3 linked regions of the Stegostoma tigrinum genome follow. The protein of the gene in region 1 binds, or shares a complex with, the protein of each later gene. Links are inferred from orthologs where the notes say so. Each region holds a gene or a part of one and is shown in the gene's direction. Other genes may lie near its edges. The genes, in order: AT-rich interactive domain-containing protein 1A-like, actin-like protein 6B and phf10.

Region 1 (3,748 bases):
CTGTGTCAGGGTCTCAATGTAAGGGAATGTACTCCGTGTCACGGCCTCAATGTAAGGGCGTGTAGCCTGTGTTGGGATCTCTGTTAGGGGAGTGTACTTTGCATTGGAGTCTCAATGTAACGGAGTGTGGAGTGTATGAGTGTCTCAATGTTAGGAGAGGGTATCCTGTGTTGGGGCGTTAATGTTAGGGGAATGAACCCAGTGTTGGGGTCTCAATGATAGCGAAATGTACCCAGTGTTGGGGTCTCAATGTTAGCGAAATGTACCCAGTGTCGGGGTCTCAATGTTAGGGGAGTGTACCCAGTGTCGGGGACTCAGTGTTAGGGGAGTGTACCCAGTGTCAGGGTCTCAATATTAGGGGAGTGTACCCAGTGTCGGGGACTCAGTGTTAGGGGTTAGTGTACCCAGTGTTGGGATCTCAATGCTAGGAAAGTGTACCCAGTGTCAGGGTCTCAATGTTAGGGGAGTGTACCCAGTGTCGGGGTCTGAATGTTAGGGGAGTGTACCCAGTGGGTCTCAATGTTAGGGAAGCGTACCCACTGTTGGGGTCTCAGTGTTAGGGGAGTGTACCCAGTGTCAGGGTCTCACAGTCAGGGGAGTGTACCCAGTGTCGGGGTCTCACTGTCAGGGGAGTGTACCCACTGTCAGGATCTCACAGTCAGTGGAGTGTACCCACTGTCAGGGTCTCACAGTCAGTGGAGTGTACCCAGTGTCGGGGTCTCACTGTCAGGGGAGTGTACCCAGTGTCGGGGTCTCACTGTCAGGGGAGTGTACCCAGTGTCGGGGTCTCAATGTTTGAGGAAGCGTACGCTAAGGCTCTCAATGTCGGGAGTGTTAGGGAAGAGAAACACTCCCTTATGCTGACTGACGGAATATTCTCCCTACCCTCCCCCATCCCTGGCCCCTCCCCCAGGCCGGGCTCCGCTCCCCTCCCCCTCCCCCTCCCGCTCCGCTCCGGGTTTTGCCGCCGCCCCCCACACAACATGGCTAGTAGTTCTGTCAGACCGCGTGTTGCGCTGGGCCCGAGGCTCCGTTAGACGGGCTCGGGCTGCCGTGCTCACCCACACCCAGCCATGCGGAGCGGCAGCGCCACCGACAACGGCACCGGCAGTGCGGCCGTCTGAGCGCCACCGCCCAGGGCAAGTCGGGGAGCCGAGAGTCAGCAAGCCGAGCGGCCGGGCGGGGAAGCGAGCGAGCGAGCCTAGCGGCCGAGAGTGGGAGCGGGTATCGGGGCCGCCGGGCCGAACCGAGCCAAGCACTGGGAGGGAGCGACCCACCGAAAGCGAGCGAGCGAGGCGAGGCCCAGGGGTGGGGGTGGGGGATCGCGCGGGGCGGCGGGCAGCAATGGCCGCTCCGGTCAGCGCCCTCAGAGACACCGAAATGAGCCAGGCCAAGGCCGGCGAGCTGGCGGCGCTGAAGCCGGGGACTGGGCCCGGCCCCACCGCCGAGCAGGAGCATCACCTGCCGGGCAACGGCTCGGAGCCCGGCGCCGCCGCTAGGGAGACCTTCAGCAACCACCGGCTGAGCGCGGCCCCGGTGCCGGGCGAGCACAGCGACGAGGACAGCGGCCACCCGCCGCACGGCGAGCAGGACGGGGCCTCCTCCTCAGAGCAGAGTAACGGCGGAGCGGGTTCCGGGGAGCCAGACCCCGGACGGGCTACTGCCACCAGCCTGGCTCTTCTAAGCGGCGACCAGAGATTCGACCATTCCAGCAGCAGCGGTGGTGCCGTGCCCCTGGGCAACGCGAACCCGGGGCCCAGTCCCGGCCCAGGCGCCGTGCCGCCTACCGGTTACGGTTACAACCATTACCGGGGCCCGTTCCACCAACATGGCGGACAACAAAGCCCCGGCATGGGGGCAGCGCTACAACCCGGCGGCCTCGACTCCTTCCAGCCCAACTCTCACGAGGCTTTCTCCGGGCACTACAACAACTACACCACGTCTTATCCGGCGGCCCGCAGTGGCTACATGAACCAGAGTTACGGCCTCAATTCGCCGCGGGCCGGGGCTGCTGGGCCTAAAGCCTTGGCCTCGGGTATGGTCGCTTCTTTCCAGCGCTTTGGTGGGCAACAGCAGCAGTCGGCGCAGGGCCCCGGCCTCCAACAGCATCAACAACCGCAGACGGCGTCCAGTACCCCAACCCTCAACCAGCTGCTCACCTCCCCGAGTGGGGCCCGGGCTTTTACTAACTATAACCAGGCCCACCAGGACTACAATAGCAGCCAGGAGCTGGCCAAGGGAGGCGAGCTGGGAACCCAGTTTCCCAGCTCGGGCTGGGCAGCAGCGCAACAAAGGAGCCACCATCCGCCCATCAGCCCCGGGAGTAGCGGGCAGCCTTTGCCTAGGACTCAGGTAAAAATGCTAACTAGTGGTTAACTAGTGTAACCAGGGGCGAAGAGTGGTGATGGCAGTGTTAGTTAATGGTTGGTGGTGTGTGTATGTGGTTGGGGGAGGGAGGTGGATAGGGCCGTGCTTGTGCTTCTCTCTCAATACAAAGAATCCGCTCTAAAATGGCCGGCTTTGTGCGAGTGGAGCAGCAGTCTCGGTATAAATTATGTAAAGTGAGGCCCGAACCCGAACTGGAAGAGCTGTTCTCCCTCCCTCCTTTATTTTCCCCACTTTTTTTCTTCCTCCTTTTTTTCCAACACTTCTTTCTCCCTCATTTCTCCCACTTTGACCCCTCCCTGTTCCCCTCCTCCATTCCACCCCAGCTGTCCCTTTCCTTTCCTCCTCACATCTCAGCTTCCCCCTCCCCGTTTCTCTCCCCCCTTCCCCTCACTCTCATTTTCCCCCCTCCTCGCTTTCCCCAGTTCTCTCCACCCCTTCCATTCTCTTCCCCCTGCCCCCAACACAGCTTTCCTCTCCCTCCCCAGTTCTGACCTCTTTTTCGTCCTCCTGCACCACCAGCTTCCCCTCACCTCCCAAGCTTTGTAGGCTTTTCACTTCAAAAAGTGTCCCTCCTGTACAAAAAAAGTCTGTAAAGGATTGGGTGAGTTTAGTTGAGCAAAACAGGTTGTGAGAGCACTAGGGTTTTGCTGCATGATCTGTGGCTCAGGTACTGGCTGCTCTCTTTGTTTTAGGATTTTGATCTCAGTGAATTTCTCTCCCCTTATTTAAGTGCTCGAGCACTGTTTGCTGCTTTGTCTGATTATTTTAATGCTGTTTATTGATGGACCTCCGTTACCGTTCCCACCTCCTTGTTTCTTTCTCTGTCTCCCCCCCCCCCCCCATGTTGTTTTTCTCGTCTCCACCGCCTCGAGTGCATGCAACCTTGAGTTGGTTCACTTTGCCAGTACTAGCTGGTACTAATGCACAGGCTGGTGATTTGAGTAAGTGCAGATTGCACGGGTTTGGGATTTGAATTATGGAGGTAAAATCCTTCTGTCAAAGCCAGGAGACAGTTGGTCTTAGGGTGACATGCTATCTGTAATCTGATTGGCTCTTCAGCTGCTGCTTCTGGCCATTTATAATTGCCTCTGATGTAATGGCAAAACAACCTGATTAGCTCATAAACTGGAATATGGTTCACATTACAACAGAGTGTAAGGGAGGGGGGAAAAATAAATACAGGTAATGGCCATTGTTTCACAGGCTTAGCTTGGAGAGGGCAAGAGATGCTGTGGAAACAGCTCCTGACCTTGAAATGCTGAGCAGCTGACTGCACAGGGACAGCACCACAAACAATATCGGCCGTGTCAGCATGCACAGCCCCATTGTGTGATGACAGGGAGCTTATGGGGGTTCTACA
Region 2 (3,748 bases), on another chromosome or scaffold:
GCACCTAACACAGTTGGTTAGTACAATAACAACATGCATTTACATTGTGCCTCTAACTTAGATATCCCTGAGATATTTCCTAAGAACGATCTCAAACCAAATTTGAGGCACTAAGGGGCTAGAAAGGGCAGCTCTGTCAAAAAAGCTGATTTCAAGGATCATCTCAAAGGTGTGAGAGAGAGAGAGAGCGACTGAGAAATTTAGGGAGGGAATTCCAAAGGTTAAGGAGTCAGGCCAGCTGAAGGCATGATCGCCAATGATGGAACGATGGTAATCAGAGGGTGGGCAAGAGGCTAGGATTGCGGGACTGCAGATATTTTGGAGGTTTATGTGGCTGGAGGTGCTTACAGAGATAGTGCGGGCAGTGAGGTATTTGAAAACAAGCATGAGGATTTTAAAATTGAGGTGTAGACAGATCTTGTGGATTAGCAAGGTCACAGGGTGATGTGTGAGTGAGATTCGGTGTGAGAAAGCAAGATGAGAGAGTAAAAATGCAGTAAGTTCCTTTTATCCATTAATGGGATGAGGTTATGACTGGCTGAGCCAGCATTTATTACCCATCCCTAATTGCTCAGAGGGCAGTTCAGAGTCAATCACATCGCTGTGGGTCTGGAGTCACATGTAGGCCAGACTGGGTAAAGACAGCAGATTCCTTCCCTAAAGGGCAGTTGTGAACCAGGTGGCATTTTCCCCAACAACTGACAATGCATTCATTGTCATCATTAGATTCCTAATTCCAGACATCTTACTGAATTCAATTCCACCATCTTCTGTGGCAGGATTCAAACCGAGGTCCCCAGAATTTTTTCCACGTCTCTGGGTTAACAGTCCAGCAATAATACCACTCGGCCATTGCCTCTCCTGCATTTGCTGGGATGTTGCCAGAAATGAGAGAATTTTACCTGAGGAAAGGTTGGAGTTGAGTTCTTTGGAACAGATGCTGGGGGCAGATGCATTGGAGATGTAGGCAGTGGTGAGGGGCTTGGAAAGTGTGGATAGGAAAGTTGTATTGCTTTACTAGACAGGTCAGTAACTTGACAGCAGAGACTGGAAGTAACTGGTGGCAGGGTTAGAGGGTTGTGACAGCCTGGAGCTTGAAAGGCTGCCAGCCAGTAGAGCACTGGAACAGGAGGAGGCCTTTCTGTCTCTCTTGTCTGCTGTCAAAGCTCGGTCAAAGAGAAAGGCTCAGAATTAGAGCGATTATAGAAAATAAATGGGCTCACCAGAGGAGTGGGTGGGCAACGTGGGCTTGAAGACAAGGGATTTCTGGTTAATTGCAGGAGCACAGCTCAGGATTAATGAAATGTCTAATAATACCAGATGCTGGTATCACCACCATTAACCAACGCTTCATGCCCTGTTGCTGTCTGTACAGGTAACTGGTGCTGCATGTTCTGTTATACTGAATGGACCATTAACCCACGCTGTGTGTCCCATCACTGTCTCCAAATGCTGCAGCTAATTGTGTCTTCTCTCTGTCAGATGAGGTGGGGGCTCTTGTGTTTGACATTGGCTCATATACTGTGAGAGCTGGTTACGCTGGAGAAGACTGCCCCAAGGTACGGTATTGCTACTCATTTCTTTCCTTACGTTGTTGTGCCTTATCTGCACCTCATTCCTGCCACCCTCTGCTGTCTGTCCCTCTCTTTACTACTATCTGGCAGTTACCTGATCCAAGGTGCCCCAAACCTTGCTGCTTCCAAGATACACATACACGTACCTTACCAGTAGAGTGCAGAGAGGAGTTGCAGAGTCATAGAGATGTACAGAGCGGAAACAGACCCTTCAGTCCAACTCTTCCATGCTGACCCGATATCCTAAATTAATCTGTCCCATTTGCCAGTATTCGGCCCATATCCCTCTAAACCTTTCCTATTCATATACCCATCCAGATCCCTTTTAAATGTTGTAACTGTACCAGCCTCTACCACTCCCTCTGACAGCTCATTCCATACACGCACCATCCTCTACATGAAAATGTCGCCCCTTAGGACCGTTTTATATCATTCCGCTCTCATCTTAAACCTATGCCGTCTAGTCTTGGATTCCCCTACCCTGGGGAAAAGGCCTTGGCTTTTCACCCTGTCCATGCCCCTCATGATTTTATAAACATCTATAAGGTCACCCGTCAGCCTCTGACACTCCAGGGAAAATAGCCCCATTCTATTCAGCCTCTCCCTATAGCTCCAACCCTCCAGCCCTGGCAACGTCCTTGTAAATCTTTCTGAACCCTTTGAAGTTTAGCAACATCTTTCTTATAGCAGGGAGACCAGAATTGAACATAGTATCCCAAAAATGGCCTAACCAATGTCCTGTACAGCTGCAAGATGACCTCCCAGTTCCTGTACTGAGAACACTGACTAGTGAAGGCAGGAGAACCAAATGCCTTCTTCTCTATCCTGTCTATCTGCGACTCCACTTTTACGAACCTGCACTCCAAGGTCTCCTTGTTCGGCAGCACTTGATAGGACCTTACCATGAAGTGTGTAAATTCTGCCCCGATTTCCCTTTGCAAAATGCAACAATAGAATAGTGGGGCAGGCTCGAGGGGCCAGTTGGCCTACTCCTGCTCCTATTTCTTATGCCCTTAATAAAACATTCTCTATCTCAGACTTAAAACTAATAACTGATTGGCATCAACTGTTGTTTGTGAAGCTGAATTTGAAACCTTTGGAAATACTTTCAAACATCTCTCCTGAATAGTCAGATTGTGCACACTTGTTCTAGAATCTCTATTGACCCTGGCTCAAAAATGCAACACCTCACACTTATCTCCAGGTCCCATGTTAGTCTGACGTAACTTCCCTCACTGGGCACTTGTAGAAATGAGTGTAAAAATAAGAACCTTACCTGTGACAAAAGGTTGGGATTTGATTCCTTGGCACAGGGGCTGAAGGTAGATTTGGTTGTGGGGTATGAAGTTATGATGGACTTAATAGGAAAGATATATAGCGGACAGATCAATAACCAGGCAGCAGAGACATGAAGTAAGGAGTTAAGAAGGAATTGTTTTCACCCAGGGGGTTTACAGGAGATGTAAGGGAAAACCTTTTCACCCAGACCATGGTGGGAATCTGAACTCACTGCCTGGTAGAGGCAGAAATCCCTCGTATTTAAAATGTTATAACTTCCATGTGATGTAGGTGTCTCTGGCACATTATTGCCCTTGAGAAGGTGGAGGTGAGTTGCCTTCTAGAACCATGATAGTCTGTGTGGTGTAGGGACACCCACAGTGCTGTTAGGGTAGACAGAAACTTTTCCCGGCTGATGGAGGAATCAATGTTCGGGGAGCATAGTTTGAGCTAAGGGATAGAAGGTCTAGAGCAAACGTGAGATTAAAGAAAACCTTTTCACCTGGAGGATGGTCCAAATCTCGAACTCACTCTTTGTGAGAGTGGGAGAGGTGGAAACCCTCATAACATTTAAGAAGTATTCAGATGTGCACTTGCAATGTCAAGGCTGCGGGCCAAGTGCTGGGAAGTGGGATTAGAGAGTAGTGAGGTGGTTGTTTTTGACAGGCATAGACGCGATGGACCAAAGGACGTTTTCTTTGCTACAGTTCTCTGTGACTCCACACGTATTTGATGGGGACAGGTGTGTAGAGGGAGTTTTCCTCTGTATTTAACCTCGTATTGTACTTGACCTGGGAGTCGTTGATGGGCTAAACGTAGAGGGAGCTTTACTCTGTATCTAACCCTGTGCTGTCCCTGTCCCTGGGAGTATTTGATGGGGGACAGTGTAGAGGGAG
Region 3 (3,748 bases), on another chromosome or scaffold:
ATCATTGAGAATGTGTAGAAGACATTTACTATTGACCAGGAATTTTCTCTACAAGGTAATCTGGGAAAATATGGGGGTATTATTTGAGCAGGTAATTGTGGGAGATTTGATGGAACTTTACAAGATCATAAAACATTTGGATAAGATAGACCAGCAGAATCCACCATTCGCTGGCAGTACAAGTACTGGGCAAAAGATGCAGAAAGAATGGATTCCTGTACCACAAGTGACTGACTCAATCCGAAACAAAAACACAAGTTGCTAGAACAAGTCAGCAGAACTGGCAGCATCTTTGGAGAGAAATCAGTTAATGTTTCAGGTCCACAAACCTTTCCTCAGAACGGAGTCACTGGACCCGAAACGTTAACTATGCTTTCCCCCCACAGATCCTGCCAGATCTGTTGAGCGTTTCGTGAAAGTTCTGTTTTTGTTTCTAATTTACACCATCCACAGTTCTTTCAGGTTTTATTTAGTATTTAACTCACTGCCACATCTCTTTTAGGCATGCTCACCTTGAAGAAGTAGAGATAACAAGGTGTGGAGCTGGATGAACACAAGCAGCATCTTAGGGGCAGGAAAACTGACGTTTCGGGCCTAGAACTTTTTCTTAAGAAGGGTCTAGGCCCGAAATGTCAGCCTTCCGGCTCATCTGATGCTGCTTGGCATGCTATGTTCATCCAGCTCTACACCTTGTTGTCTCAGACTCCAGCATCGGCAGTTACTACTATCCCACATTGAAAAAGTTCTGCTGACTCAATCAGCATCGGAACGTAACAACAATTGTTGTCCATTTAGTTCCTCAAACCTGCAAGTCTGAGGTTTCTCAGGGTCTAGGCCTGAAATGTCAGCTTTTGTGCTCCTGAGATGCTGCTTGGCCTGCTGTGTTCATCCAGCTCCACACTTTGTTATCTCGGTTTCACCACCCCCTCCTCAACATCAATTAAAAATAGACGATAAATCTCATATTTGCTAGGGGAGTTCTGCTTTTACTTTGTAATCTTAAACGTGCACTTTCTTTAAAATCAATTTTTAAATCGGTATTATTGCATCGAATTTTATCGTTTTGGTTTTTTTTGCCCTGGTCCATGTTAATGGTCCGTTGGTTTGGAAGGATGTTCGATGCATTGTATCTTGTAAGATAAACTGCTGCTTCTGGTTCAGATTCATTATTATCATCTACCTCTAGACATTTCACACTTGAAAATAAAGCTTGCAATGCCTTCGACTCCTTTTCTGTCCGTAAACCGTCCGTTATTTCTCCCTGTGTTAAGACCAGAGGACACTTTTCTGCGGAAGGCAGCGGTCAGGTCTCGGCGAGGGGGGGGGGAGGGTGTGGTGGAGGAGAAGAGCTTCTGATGGGCCGACCGTGAGGATCCTGGAGTTGAACCCGATGCTGGGGCGCCCCTTGCGCGGGAAGGCTAATGGTCGGCCTGTCTGCCTCCCGGCAGCGCAGCGCACTGCAGTTGAAATGGCCGCCGCGGTATCGTCGAGTCGCCTGTGCGACAGTAACCCAGCAACTCCGGGAGTACAGTCCAGCAAGGTGGGTGACTGAGGCTGCGGCGAAACGGTGCTCGGACTGGTGTTGTTATGGTTCCCCCAGCATGTGGGAAGGGGAAGATGTACGATCGTCGTTGTAGATTTTATCCGATCTCTGGGTTGAAACTGGGACCGTTCAAGTGCAATAAACCGTCCGCTCAGAGCAGAGCGGCCGATTGATGTTGTGTTTCTCGCTCAGCACAGCCAGCTGGTACTGACGCGCGCGGTGAGGTCTCTACATACTCTATTCTCAAACTGTTCAAAGTAGGGTCCTGTCACCAGTTGTTCATCTCTACCTCCCAGTTCAGTATTTGTAAAGTTAAATCATCACGATTCCTAGGATGTTTTTTTTTAAATTCATAATTTGAACGTTGGCCCAGATTTTCTGATGGTCAGAACCTTTTCTGAATTGAAGGTGCGAGTTGTTTAAGGGGACCCTGTAAACTCTTCAGTGTAGGACACTCTGAAGGAATTGCCCGGGAAGTTGACTTTTCTTTTGGAAAATCCCTGTCCCTTTAAATTGGAGAATTCAGGGGGTTTCGATTAAACAAGTAGACATTCAGGAAAAGTTATTAAATGTCCATTCTTAACGGCCGAGTAACTATCAGACTGAAAAAGGGGCCTTCTTGTGACAGCAGCGGTAGTGTCCTTTCCCTCGTCCAAGTTCCACCTGCTTCAGAGATAATCATAGAATCCCTACTGAGTGGAAACAGGCCATTTAGCCCATCTGGCACTGTGCTAACCACCGTGCTGCTGGCTGTCAAGACATCTCTGGTTGATTGCATCCCACTTGCCTCACACACCCATACTATATCTCCTTCATACTCTCAACGCCTTCGAGACCCTGATCTAACATTGTTTTCCCCTCCACTTTAAGACCCAACATCTCCCCTTGTCGTCAGACCTGACACCTCCCTGTGTGTGTGCGCGTGCGCGCGCCTCAAGTCACCCCATCCCCACTGCTGGATCTAACTGCAACTTTGTCCTGCAGTCAGACCATGCCTCAATCTGATATCTCCCACCTACCCTCAACACTCCACTTACCTGGTACCCCACTCATCTGGCATCTTATATACCTGGACCTTTGTGTCCCCGACCCGTCTGATATTCCTAGCCTTCTGGCATCCTACCCCACACTTGCCTTGCATATGAAATAGAGATACCAGTGTTGGACTGGGGTGAACAAAGTCAGAAGTCATATGACACCAGGTTGTAGTCCTAACAGGTTATTTAAAGTCACAAGCTTTCGGAGTGCTGCTCCTTCATCAGGGTGGAGTGGCTACCTGCTGAAGGAGGAGCACTCTGAAAGCTTGTGATTTTTAAATAAACCTGTTGGAGCATAACCTGGTGTAGTGTGACTTCTGACTTTGTCTTACGTACTTGCTGTTTGGCACCAGCTGTCAATGGCTGCCTGAGATTCTAAACCTTCACACTTCAGAATACACCTGTTGACCACTTTGAGAAATGGAGTGTGAGTTGCCTTCCCCTAACACTTCTGCACTTTGCGAGATCTGTCAGAATGGAAATACAGCTCCACATTTCTGAAGGAACCCTGATCAGAATCTGTCAGAAATGCGAACTGCTTTTGTTGCATAAAAGTGGAGATTGCCACTCATTGGAAAATTCACTTTTTTCCCCCCCCCAATTTTTTTCAAACTTTTTATTTAATCCCTTGTTATTTCAGTAAAAGGGAATAAGTAGCAAAATACTACAGATGTTTGAAATCCTAGCTATGTAGAGGAAGCACTCTGGGTCAGACAGCATACCAATTTGGACAGCATTTCTCTTAACAAAATATCTGTGATTTTGCAGAAAGCTATAAAGCAAAATTTGACACTGAGCTGTATAAGGTTACATGGGGACAAGTGACCAATGTTTGCTCAAAGAGAGATTTTGCTGAGCATCTTGAAGGATCCAGCCAAACAAATTGTCTGTTTTATTTTTGAGTTTCTTGTGACTGTACTGTGACTCAATTATAGCACTCTTGCTTCTGAATCACAGGACCCCTGTCTCAAGTCCCACTTTTGACCTCAAGGACAAAAATCAAAGTTGACTCTCCAGTGCAGTACTGAGGGAGGGCAGCAGAATTGGGCATGCTATATGTTGGATGAAAAATTAAAGTGAGGCCTTTGATGCAATGGATGTACAAGGTCCTGTCAGAATATTTCAGAGGCCATATTAAGACCATGAGACATAGGAGCTGAAGTAGGCA

What was found.
Region 2: AT-rich interactive domain-containing protein 1A-like (region 1) and actin-like protein 6B share a complex: the UniProt entries of both Homo sapiens proteins name them as parts of the neuron-specific chromatin remodeling complex. The link is inferred for Stegostoma tigrinum from reciprocal best matches to the Homo sapiens genes ARID1A and ACTL6B.
Region 3: AT-rich interactive domain-containing protein 1A-like (region 1) and phf10 share a complex: the UniProt entries of both Homo sapiens proteins name them as parts of the neural progenitors-specific chromatin remodeling complex. The link is inferred for Stegostoma tigrinum from reciprocal best matches to the Homo sapiens genes ARID1A and PHF10.

Annotation. Positions count from the first base shown.
Region 1 is NC_081377.1:32,757,656-32,761,403, reverse strand, and holds the start of AT-rich interactive domain-containing protein 1A-like, read left to right. Parts: upstream 1-967; 5' UTR 968-1,344; coding exon 1,345-2,352; intron 2,353-3,748. UniProt on the Homo sapiens protein: Involved in transcriptional activation and repression of select genes by chromatin remodeling (alteration of DNA-nucleosome topology).
Region 2 is NC_081398.1:8,382,370-8,386,117, reverse strand, and holds the start of actin-like protein 6B, read left to right. Parts: upstream 1-1,281; 5' UTR 1,282-1,320; coding exon 1,321-1,375; intron 1,376-1,482; coding exon 1,483-1,559; intron 1,560-3,748. UniProt on the Homo sapiens protein: Involved in transcriptional activation and repression of select genes by chromatin remodeling (alteration of DNA-nucleosome topology).
Region 3 is NC_081362.1:87,911,431-87,915,178, forward strand, and holds the start of phf10 (PHD finger protein 10), read left to right. Parts: upstream 1-1,376; 5' UTR 1,377-1,390; coding exon 1,391-1,540; intron 1,541-3,748. UniProt on the Homo sapiens protein: Involved in transcription activity regulation by chromatin remodeling. Belongs to the neural progenitors-specific chromatin remodeling complex (npBAF complex) and is required for the proliferation of neural progenitors.